Linked DNA regions of Astyanax mexicanus. The protein of the gene in region 1 purifies or fractionates together with the protein of each later gene. This does not show direct contact. Links are inferred from orthologs where the notes say so. Each region holds a gene or a part of one and is shown on either strand. Other genes may lie near its edges.

Region 1 (3,756 bases):
AGTATGACAAGAGGAAAATCAGTCTGATGTCCCACATGTGAGAACATATAAGAAGCTACATATGTAGATGGGTATTTCAGAATGCATCCAAGAAGCAATGTGTTGTGTTCCTGAAATCGGAAACGCAACCAAATTACCCTTAAATCACATATATACTTAAAAGGAAGTGTCTTGTGCACTTGCACTTACTCCAGCTCATTAATCCCAAAGAAAAACCTCCATCTGAACTCAAATGACCTAAACTGACATCTATAACTGCACAGCAGGCAAGTTGTTGGTGACCATCAAACAAGACCAGCCTAACTAGCTAAAAAAAACCTGCAAACATATGTATGTAAACAGACAAAAAGGCAAGCCCAGCATATGTGTGTGTGTGTGCGGAAAGCAAGCACTACATATACTAGTGTCCTCATCCTTCCATGGAAGCCTCCAACTGTTTAACTATCTTCTCTACAAATTTGCTAACTTGGATGGTAAAGCCATAGAAAGCACAACCAGGCCACCATATAAAAGCAGGCACTACATCGAGATTGGGTGAAAGTCTGATTCCCAAGGTGTAACAACATTAAGCAGAAATGTCCTGAACTGACAGCTGTATGTCAAGGTAGTTCAATTATAATCAAACAAGACCATCCTAACTAATTAACTAAGTAATTTGCATGCATGTGCACACAAACAGACCGCAGAATCAGGCCAGCATGTGTGGAAGCTAGCATTAGATGTTCTACAACAAACGTTCGGGTAATGTTTGTCACTACTACAGCTTCGGAAAAGAATGTGCTTGGAGGTTAAGGGTGTCCTCATCTCTCTTAAAAAGCATCCAAATGCATAATTTGCAAGCATGAGCAAACTTAGTATAGTTTTCAAGCCACATAAAAAAAGAAAACACAAAAAAGTAAAGCCACCAACTGAACTGAACTGAACTCAACTGAACTGTCACCTGTATCCACCTCAGTAGCAGCAACAGATGCAATAGCATGTGAAGTTAGTTGGGTTAAAAACACTATGCTGCTAAGAATGACCATCGAAAAATGTGGATGATTTCAGGTTATATGTACTCACTGACCTGAACTGAGAGCTGTAACTGCACATCAAATTAGGTGAGTGACCATCAAACAAAATAGCAGAAACAGTCAGCAAGTGTGTGTGTGTGAATGTAAAGGCATTATAACACAAGTTTATGTGTTTTTTAGTTAGTATTATTGCTGTGAGAAGACACAAGCATGGAAACATTAGAAGCAAAAGCAACTTTCTGGAAATGACAGATAGCAGTCTGGCAAACTAACTTATTTTCAACTGCACAGTGGGGTGAACCGGTGCCGTTTTCACATTTAAAAAAAAAAATTGTTCCCAAAAAAACACACATGCACAGGTTTGGAGATAGGAGCTAGTTAGCTAGCTAGCCAGTGATTTCAGAAAATTACCCCAAACCAGGCCACCATGTGAGAGCAGGTAGTAGGCTAAGAGTTTGTGTGATGTTTTGATGACCAAGATGTGACAACCTAAAGCAGCACTGTGTTGTGGCCCATTTGGTACAGAAACTAACCTGAAATCTGAAATGAGATGGGAGTGTCTTGTGCTCAGAGTGAGTGCACTCACCCCAGCTCATCCTCTCCCAAAGAAAAAAACGCAAAACCTCCATCTGAACTCAACTGACCAGAGACAACAGCTGTAACTGTACATCAAGCTAACTAAGCCAACTAGTTGACTGACCATCAAACAAGACAAACAAGACAAGCCTGTCTAACATATACATGTGTTTGTGTGTGTGTGCTCTAAAGCGACTATGACACGAGTTTGTGTGTTTTTCAGTTACTAACATTGTTGTGAGAAGGCACAAGCATGAAAACAGCAGAAGCAGGTTTCTGGGTATGACAGATAGATAGCAGGCTGGCTAACTAACTTATTTTCAACTAACTGCACGGTGGGGTGAACGGGTTCAGTTTTGAACCGTCAAAAAAAAGAAAGAGAAGAAGGAGAAAGCAGGACAACAAGCAGCAAGAGAGGCACTAGCTAGCTTAGCTACAGTATTTCACGAGAGAACACACACATAAAGAGAGAGGTTTGGAGGTAGTAGCTAGTTAGCTAGCCAGGTTATCTCGCAGAGAGTTGAGTGAGGTCAGAAAACGACCCAAAACACACCTCCTCCTCCTCCTGCTCCTCTCCCGCTACTGAGCTAAGCTAGCTAACCGAACAGCCGCGCGGAAAGTAGCTATTCGCTCGTATCCCCCGCGATTCTGGGAAAGGCAGAGGGGGAAATACAGGTGACGTATCCTCTCAACGCCTTTCTGGCTAGCTGGCTAACGGGCTAGCGCGGCGAGCTAACAGCACTACTATTTTATTTATTTATTTCGCAGCCCAACAGCGGCTCCGGTACAGCTACAATGAATACTGCGCAACAGCAGCGGCGCTTTTTTGTGCGGCGCCCGACATTTGAATCAGCGGTTCCGCGGCGGTTTTTACGGCGTTCAACAAACAGCAATTTTGCACTTACAGTCTCTCCTCTCCGCTCTCCGCGGCGGCCATTTTTTTATATTTTATTATTTAAATAAATAAATTCCCCCAAAAAATCACGCAACATCTTTGTGGGCGCCCCTCGCCCTCTCCCCACTCCCTCTTCTACACCATCGCTTCTGCTGCACATCTCGCGAGACCTCCGCGGCCGCTCCGCCGCTCTGTCCCGCTCTGCGCGGCAGCACTTCTCGCGAGAACTGGGGGGGGGGCAGGCAATCATCGGAGAGGAATGTATGTCTAGGCCGAGTGAGAGAGGGGGGTACACACACAGACACACACACACTGCAATACCATACTGTTACATCTGAATAGGAGGGTGTTTATGTGTTTTTTGTATTTTGTAATAAAATTGATATATCTTGATATATCGTCCCAGTAATTATTGTGATTAATTATTAATTAACAATAGTATTGTCAGTTTATGACCATTAAATATAATGATAACAGAATAACACAGCAAAGCAATCATATACTTTTAACGACAACAAATTTGCGATTAATCATAATTTGGGAAATATACTATATAATATACTTTTTTGAAGCATTGGCTAAAATACTGTTCACTTTTATGAATGTGAACAAACACAATAGACAATATTCTAATTCGGAATAAATATTGAGGACATTGATAATACAATTATTGTGACAGGCTAAACTACATTATCTGTTTGCACTGTGTTTTTGTTCGAGTTTTACAGTGTAGAGCTCACGGTGTAACCCTGCTGTACACTGATATAAATATTATGGTGAAATTTTAAAACTTATGATGTTTATGATGTTTAGATAATTAGAAGATTATTTTGACTGCCAAGCAGTTGATGGGAACTACTTCCAGAGTTTGCATTAATATTTTATCCTAATTTATGCATTAATGTTAAGATTTGTACTGTAGGTTTTAATTCTTTTGTCTTGTAAATTATACGTTACCAGTCAAAAGTTTGAACACACCTTGTTATACTATCTACCTTAAGACAAACACTTTTAATTTCAGGCTACATGATTTTGCTTTCTTTATGCCCTACTTGCTGCTCACCTCCTATTCCTGTCAGTTTCTAATTCTCTAACCCGATTCTAATCCGTTTATGGCACATAGGAACATAACCGCATGCTTTCAGAACACTAGCTTATTTGATTTTCACCAATTTTAAGATCAGTGAAATATAATCAGACCAAGAAGCTTCACACTGTATCGATCAGTGTAAACCAGAAGAGTGAGCATCATCTACAAAACCAAAAACTCAG
Region 2 (3,756 bases), on another chromosome or scaffold:
TGCTACCAACTCGCCAGAAAACACGTCCACTAAACGCTACAGCTGTTTATTCTCTCCTTAAACGTTATTTATTCTGTTAATATGATGTTTTAGTGTTTAATCGCAGGCTCACCTCAGGTTTGTGTGTAGCGTTTTGTGGTCTTCGTCGTCTGCTGCTGGGGCGGTACTGCGGCAGGGTGACACCGCCAGGGCGCAGTGCTGCTGCCACCTCGCGGCCGGAGCGGAGCTGCGCTAAAGTCGCAGCATGATCTGCCGCGGTTCTGGATCTACTGATCATTAGAATAAATAAAAAAATAATTAATTAATTAAAATAAACAAAATAAATGAATAATAATACAGCGCTTGGTCAAAATAGTGCAAATGTTTTACGCCACAGGAGAGCAAAACCACTTCTTGTAGGGCTGGTGAAAAATAATGAATCTCAGTATTATTTAAATGTAGGAATTACTATTACTCAATTACTGTTTAGAGCAGTTCAAATTCAAATTCAAAACTTACTTTTTTAAATTAGTAAACAGGCAGCACCCTTTAAAGTGATGCACAAGCACACGTTTCCTAAGGATTGTTTTATGAGATGGTACATCATTATTATGAGATAGTAAGTCATAATAATGAGATACTAAGATGTCTGTGGGTATTATCATAATTATGACTTAGTATCATTTAATAATAACTTACTAGTGGCAGAACTAGTGAATGGAACTGCAATATGTTAACATATAATAATTTCAAGAATATAAGAATACAACAAAAAAATACAAGCAATACAAAAAAATATGTTCTTTAGAGTATGATTAATTCCAAATTTCTTGTTTTTCAAAAGGGTATGAATCCTTTGTTATGCTATTCCATTAGCATTATGTCAGTTGCACTTAAAATGATAACAATATTGTTTAGCACAATAATTTCTGGGACAATAAATCGTCCACACCAATATTGTGACAGGGCTAGGAAAAAAATAACTATATATCTATCATTAGAACATATCATGGAATGATTAATAACCCCAGACTAATAAAATTGTTTTTTTTTAAAATATTTTTTAAAGGACTAATGTTATGTTCTGTATGTGTAACTGCGCAGCGCCACCAGGCGGGGTCGCTGTTTGTTTCTCTGCCGCGTCTCGAGCCTCATTACTCCGCTCCTCGCGGACCCACGTGGGCAGGAGAGAAAGATGGCAGACGACAGGCTCTGTTTCCACGAGATGGGTTTGGATGATCGTCTTTTAAAGGTATTTATCTCTGTCTGATCAACGCGGTACCGGTGTGTGAAATGCGGATGTGTGTAAACAGATAATACCGTAATAAAAACGTAATAATCAGCTTAAATTCAGCCTTTAATCACCGCGCTGTTTACTGCACCATGTCCGAGAACAGAGGCGCAGAGCCAATATTCCCAATAAAAGCAGAAATCTTCAGTTTAATCGATTTCTCGTAAAGATATACCCCTCCAATCCATAAATAATAAATGATTAAACATTTTAGGTTATGTATTTATGCTTCTGTAAAGTGTTTGTGTTGTGTAATCATACTTACAGCGCCAGTACTCTACCAGAATATTAAAGTAAACATAGGTTTGTCACAATAACACATAACTGTTTTTGTGTTGATAATATATTGTCTCATAAATATTGTCGTTAAATGATAATAATGTCAATTTAAGACAAATGTAACCCCCAGAAATATTGCTAGTGTAATAGCATAATAATACAATGACAGGTGTAATAATCAGTGTAAGAGTAATGAGCTTTTAATTGTGAATATTATACAGGCTTTGTAATTAAAGTATCCTAAAAGAAAATATAAAATCAGAAATTTAATGAGCGATATAAAGGTCAGCAAAAATTAGAAGTCCACATATTGTACAATAATCAATAATGTAATTACTAAGACAGACCTACACCTTATTTAATAATAATAAAAAAAGTCCAGCATAAAAAACAGTGTTTTAAAAATGTTTTCATCCACACAAGTTTAATAACACTTCTTGTAGGACTGAATCGTATTGTAAAAACGTTTTAACTTTTAATATAAGTCTATTTCAAGTTACTTTGGAACACTTCTATTTGTAAATTATTTATGAAAGTTTAATACAATAGAAAAAAAACAAGTCTTTGTATGTTTTTGATAGCGTTAAACATTGTAAAAAGCATTACATGAATTGGCTAAAGTAGAATATATCTATTTAAAGTTCTGAAAAGCTTAGTATTTCATTACAAGTATATAAATTCAGCATTTATAATATATTGTAGCATTCTCACTGCCTTTACGTGTTCCTTTAACCCTGTCAGGCGATCGCAGACCTGGGCTGGGCTCAGCCGACCCTCATTCAGGAGAAAGCCGTTCCTCTGGCTCTGGAGGGAAAGGATCTTTTGGCCAGAGCTCGAACCGGTTCAGGAAAAACAGCGGCTTACGCCATTCCTGTTATCCAGCAGATCCTCACCTCTAAACAGGTAATACCTGACCATGTGACTTGTGACACTTTCCCTTTCCAGATGATTATACCAATACCTGCAGAGCCTATCAAATAAAATTATCAAATAAATACACATATATTACGAATTTTAAAACATTTTACAATCTGAGCTGACTTCAAAAAATGTACTAAATGGATATTAAAATTCAAAATAAATCTGTATGTATTTTTATGGAGCAGGCCGTGCCCTGATAATCCACCAGAGGGTGGTTTCTACTTTCTGTAATAAATTATTATTTATTTGTCATTTTATTTGAGATAATAAGTTTTGATCAATGGCTGTCTTTTTTTTGTTGTGTGTTAGACTGTGCAGGGGGAGCAGGCGGTCAGAGCTCTGATTCTGGTTCCTACTAAAGAACTGGGACATCAGGTGCAGACAATGATCCGGCAGCTCACTGCATACTGCGCTAAAGATGTTCGGGTGGCAGATATCTCAGGAAAAACTGAATTATCTGCACAGAAGTGAGAACACTTTTAATAATACCATTGATTAGAATAATGTGATCAATTTGGTGCTCGGGATGTAGATGTATAGTTGATAACTGTGATAATTGTGTGCATTTTTATGCGTGTTTTTGTACTTTAGGCCCATTCTAATGGAAAAGCCTGATATTGTGGTGGGAACTCCATCGCGAGTGCAGGTCCACATTTCTGCTCAGAACCTGGTGCTGCACTCGTCTCTGGAGATGCTGGTCATTGATGAGGCTGATCTTCTGTTCTCTTTCGGTTTTGAGGCTGATCTTAAAAACCTCATCTGGTGAGTGTTTCAGACTTTATTATTATACAACAATTAACAGTATTTATTTATTGTATTGGAGACTTATTGGACACTAGACAGGGGCTTATGTGTCATGCTGTGCACCACAATGTAGACATTCGCTTTCATGTGATTGGATGAGTAAAGATATTTCTATCTCGTTAACACTATATCACCACTGTTAAACATGGTGGTGGTAGCAGCAGCAACATGTTGTGATGTTGTTTTAGCTTGTGGAATAAATGTTTCTTTACCATAACATTAGAAAAATTTGGACACAGTTATGGAGCATGCTTAAATGTCAGAAAACCAAAACATTTACTGTATTTTTTGCACTATAATGTGCACCTAAAATTCTTAAATTTTCCCAAAATTGTCAGAGTAAAGAAAAAAATAATTGTATGTATAGATTTTACTAGGAGCAGTAAAGCCACTCTGCTGAAGTACAGAGTTATACAGGAGTTTCAGTTTAGTTTCTTCAGCACCGAGACTGAAGCAGTATTAGCATTAGCTGCTAGCCTTGA
Region 3 (3,756 bases), on another chromosome or scaffold:
AAGCTTGTTTATGGTTGTATCTTTAATTCTGATTATTATGCTGCATATAATTTATTGACTATTGTGTCGGGTGTCATTATTACTGAGAGAAACTTCAGATATGTTCACCAATTTCCTCTGAAAATGAGTTTTGCTTCTGTCTATGTTGTGATGTATATTTAAAGTTATACTGCTAAACTGATCCGCAAACAAAAACACAAAAGAGCAATGTTTCACATCACCAATCAAATGAAGTCAATTCACAGTATCAACCACTGCCTTAAAATGTTAAGTGCAATGTCATGTAAATGTGCAATTTTACATGAGAATAAGGAGGTGAGAGATGGCACAGAATCTAACGAGGCGTCTTTGAGGGGTCACAGCAGCTACTTTTACTGAATAAATATATCTGTATATGAAATTTAGTGTTTTTGTGAATTTCAACTTGTACTGAGATAAGTGGTGAATGTCCTGTATTTTCTAAATGAAATTAAAATCTCATATTCAGTAAGTTTTTGCCATCCACATAAAGTGAAATGTTATAGGGATGACTTAAGATAACATGGAAATAATAGGTAATCAATTGAAATAGTTTTTCAGGTGTTTTGACACATGTATTTATTTTTTGTTTAATGGACAGTGTTGTTATTTTTTAAGAAGAGTAGAACAGTAAACTTGTGTGATACTATACAGATGCCACTAATGCCAACATATTTTAGTGCTTACCTTTCTCTGGGACTGCAGATCAGGCTCAAAACTAAGGAAAAGCCACAGCAGGCAGCCTGCCCTCCCCTGAATATAAAACAGAGAAGTTAGAAGTGCTTTAAATTAAACATTGTGTTGATAGAAAACATTTATAGGGACATTAAGGTGCACAGAATAGGTGTACGTGTATAGTACATTTAGAGTATACTTCAAGTGTATTAAAAATGACACTTTAACACACCTGACTTACTTTACCTGACTTACAGAATGAATGAAAAATACATTAATATACAGCTCTGAAAAAACAAGAGACTACATAAAAATGATTGCTTTGATTTTACCAAATTGAAACCCTCTGGAATATAATCAAGTGGAAGACGGATGATCTCCAGCTGAACTGCTTGATTTTATCCAAATTTATCCAAAAGCAGTGTGTAAGACTGGTGGAGGAGGACATGATGCCAAGATGCATGAAAACTGTGATTAAAAAAACAGGGTTATTCCACCAAATGTTGATTTCTGAACTCTTAAAACTTTATGAATATGAACTTGTTGGTTTTCTTTTAATTATTTGAGGTCTATTTTCTCATTTTAAATAACAATATTTATATTTGTATTTTGGGAGAAATGTTGTCTGTAGTATGCAATACTACTATAATAATAGAAGAAAACAACAATGTTCATTTTACTCAAACATAAACCTTTAAATAGCAAAATCAGAGAAACTGATTCAGAAACTGAAGTGCTTGCTTTATTTTTTCTAGAGCTGTAACTTATGTAGTATCGGTGATAGCTAAGCTAGCTACCTTCAAATGTAAGCAACTACCTGTCATTCAGTCTGAAAACACAGAAATTAACGTTTAAGTACACGACTTTAATAATTACTATACAGATAAATAGATAAAATAGTTAGTTGAATGGTTTAGACAGCAAGGTTACCTACCAAACCTACATCTATAAGGTTACCTACTGAAACCCAATGGCTGCAACACGGAGCTGCTAACTCAGCTAGCACAACAGCTTGCTACTGTCGTTATATGGTTTAAAACGTGTATACAAGCATATTTGATTGATTATGCCGGTTCCTGGACGTTTAAAACATATACACGATTGAAATCTGGTTAGTAAACATTTTTGCGAAGATCATTTTAAGGCCAGCAGCTCACTATACCAATGGCATTGTCAATAGCTTAGCTAAGCTAGCCTAACTAGGTTAACCTTGCTAGCTAGACAGCATACTTAAAACGAACACACGGTGAAACCTTGTGCTTAAAACGCCCAAAAAAGCTTAATTTGGCGTAAAAATAATGCACGATATCGATTTCCATCATAAAAATGCAAGGTTAACTATATATTCAGCTTAGCCAGTGTTAGCTACAATGCCGGGGTTTTGGAAGATAGCTAGTGTTAGCTACCTAGCTTAGCTAACGCCAGGTTAACCCTATAAGTTAGCTAGCTAAGCTAAGCTAACGCAATAACTTATCGTGTCTTCTACAAAAACAACAGCTAACTAGCTACCCAAACGCCAGTAGTTAAGATATATAAAGCTAAACGTGATATAAAAATAATTTATTTAAATTAAAATGTGAAAGAATGATGAGTTCATAAATTAAACCAAGCTGATAGCTAACGCTAACTAAAATGCTGCGGCGCTGCGAAAAAAAAAACATGGCGCCTAGCTTTAGCTTAGCAAGTGTTGGCTATCCAAATAGTTTACCATAATTACTGCTTAAAACGTTAAAACACTGCTTATTTCGCTGGAATGACTCAAATCTCACACGATTTAAGCATCAAAAACACTACATATATTGCAGTAAGTATAATATGATTCATATTATGATATAAATTAGCCACTAACCAGAGACACGGCTAGCAAACACTCTCCTAGCTAACCGATTTAACGACGGACCGAGCGAAGCTGATCGCCCTGTTCCATAATTTAACAGCAGCTCTACTTCACCCAGATCGGTCAAAATCGTGCAGAAATATAGCTTATTAATTATGTCAAGCGAAATCGGATGAAACTCACAGAAATCTATCTTCTCCTGCGCTTGATTTGTAGTTAAACCGCTTCTCGCTCGCAGGTATGAAGCCCCAGCTCTACTAGATATGTATGTGTGTGTCTGCGTGTGTGTGTGTGCGCGAGCTGCAGCGCGCCAAAAACACACAATGGTAGCTGACTACATACACACACACACACAAGACGATGCAGACACAAGCAAACCTGCAGCAAGTAATTCAACACAGTCACTAGTGCAACAAAGCCATCGTCTAAGAAAAACAAACATTTACTATATTAGCTAGATATTATGTAATTTAGATAGCTAAAACATGTGGAACGTGTATAGTGAGTGGCAAGCAACCATGACTGTAGCGAGCTAGCTGTGTGGTTTTGAATGAACAACACAGACGTATATATGTGATATATGTGCATATATATACGTGTGAATTGTTGTAAAAAAGAAAATGAAAGGTGGGCTACGTTAATCGTTTAATATAAAAGCAGAATAACATTTTATTGAGTCTTTAAATCAAATCAGTTTTACGCCTTCGCTGCCGAGCAGTTGTCTATATGCATATTACGCTGTGGAAGTCTCGAGATTGACACGGATCCAAGCCAATCCGAAATGAAAGAACGTAAGCGTAGCACCGTGGCGGGAATTTTCAGCCAATCGTAGCTCGCAGGGGCGGGACAAGTGGGTGGGGTGTGGATATATGGTATGGACCGGGTTTTTTTTTTTCTCCTCCTTCTCGGCGTTTTCGTCGTATTGTGTGTGGCGCAGTTTGGTGAGGGCTGCTGTGCAACATGTCGAACGAGGTGAGTTAAGCAGTTTATTTCGCATTTATTCGGGGTTTAATGTGGTTATGAGTTGTGTATGGGGTTTAATATATGTGGGGATCGAGTTTATGAGCTAAATGATCAGGGTAATAATTTGTAATGGAGGGCAATGGGCTAAGGTTAGCTGTCTTTATTTAGCCGAATGCTAGCGGGTAGCTACCGCCATTTTGTTTTTGTGTAAGGGCTGCCGCTAGCTCGTGTTATGTCGGAATTTGTTACCCGGCGGTTATGTG

What was found. Proteins that work in one complex are often made in the same cells at the same time.
Region 2: the proteins of mecp2 (region 1) and ddx56 purify together in Homo sapiens (affinity purification with mass spectrometry; 3 studies listed by BioGRID and IntAct, with this or other methods). This does not show direct contact. The link is inferred for Astyanax mexicanus from reciprocal best matches to the Homo sapiens genes MECP2 and DDX56.
Region 3: the proteins of mecp2 (region 1) and cbx5 purify together in Homo sapiens (affinity purification with western blotting; 3 studies listed by BioGRID, with this or other methods). This does not show direct contact. The link is inferred for Astyanax mexicanus from reciprocal best matches to the Homo sapiens genes MECP2 and CBX5.

Annotation. Positions count from the first base shown.
Region 1 is NC_064419.1:4,150,957-4,154,712, forward strand, and holds the start of mecp2 (methyl-CpG-binding protein 2), read right to left. Parts: upstream 2,671-3,756; 5' UTR 2,527-2,670; coding exon 2,495-2,526; intron 1-2,494. UniProt on the Homo sapiens protein: Chromosomal protein that binds to methylated DNA. It can bind specifically to a single methyl-CpG pair. It is not influenced by sequences flanking the methyl-CpGs.
Region 2 is NC_064427.1:2,363,810-2,367,565, forward strand, and holds the start of ddx56 (probable ATP-dependent RNA helicase DDX56), read left to right. Parts: upstream 1-1,106; 5' UTR 1,107-1,174; coding exon 1,175-1,231; intron 1,232-2,290; coding exon 2,291-2,452; intron 2,453-2,779; coding exon 2,780-2,937; intron 2,938-3,061; coding exon 3,062-3,232; intron 3,233-3,756. Other genes in the region: ccar2 (cell cycle and apoptosis regulator protein 2), read right to left, coding at 113-277. UniProt on the Homo sapiens protein: Nucleolar RNA helicase that plays a role in various biological processes including innate immunity, ribosome biogenesis or nucleolus organization. Plays an essential role in maintaining nucleolar integrity in planarian stem cells.
Region 3 is NC_064420.1:888,881-892,636, reverse strand, and holds the start of cbx5 (chromobox protein homolog 5), read right to left. Parts: upstream 2,837-3,756; 5' UTR 2,714-2,836; intron 772-2,713; 5' UTR 706-771; intron 1-705. Other genes in the region: hnrnpa1b (heterogeneous nuclear ribonucleoprotein A1b), read left to right, coding at 3,491-3,502. UniProt on the Homo sapiens protein: Component of heterochromatin that recognizes and binds histone H3 tails methylated at 'Lys-9' (H3K9me), leading to epigenetic repression. In contrast, it is excluded from chromatin when 'Tyr-41' of histone H3 is phosphorylated (H3Y41ph).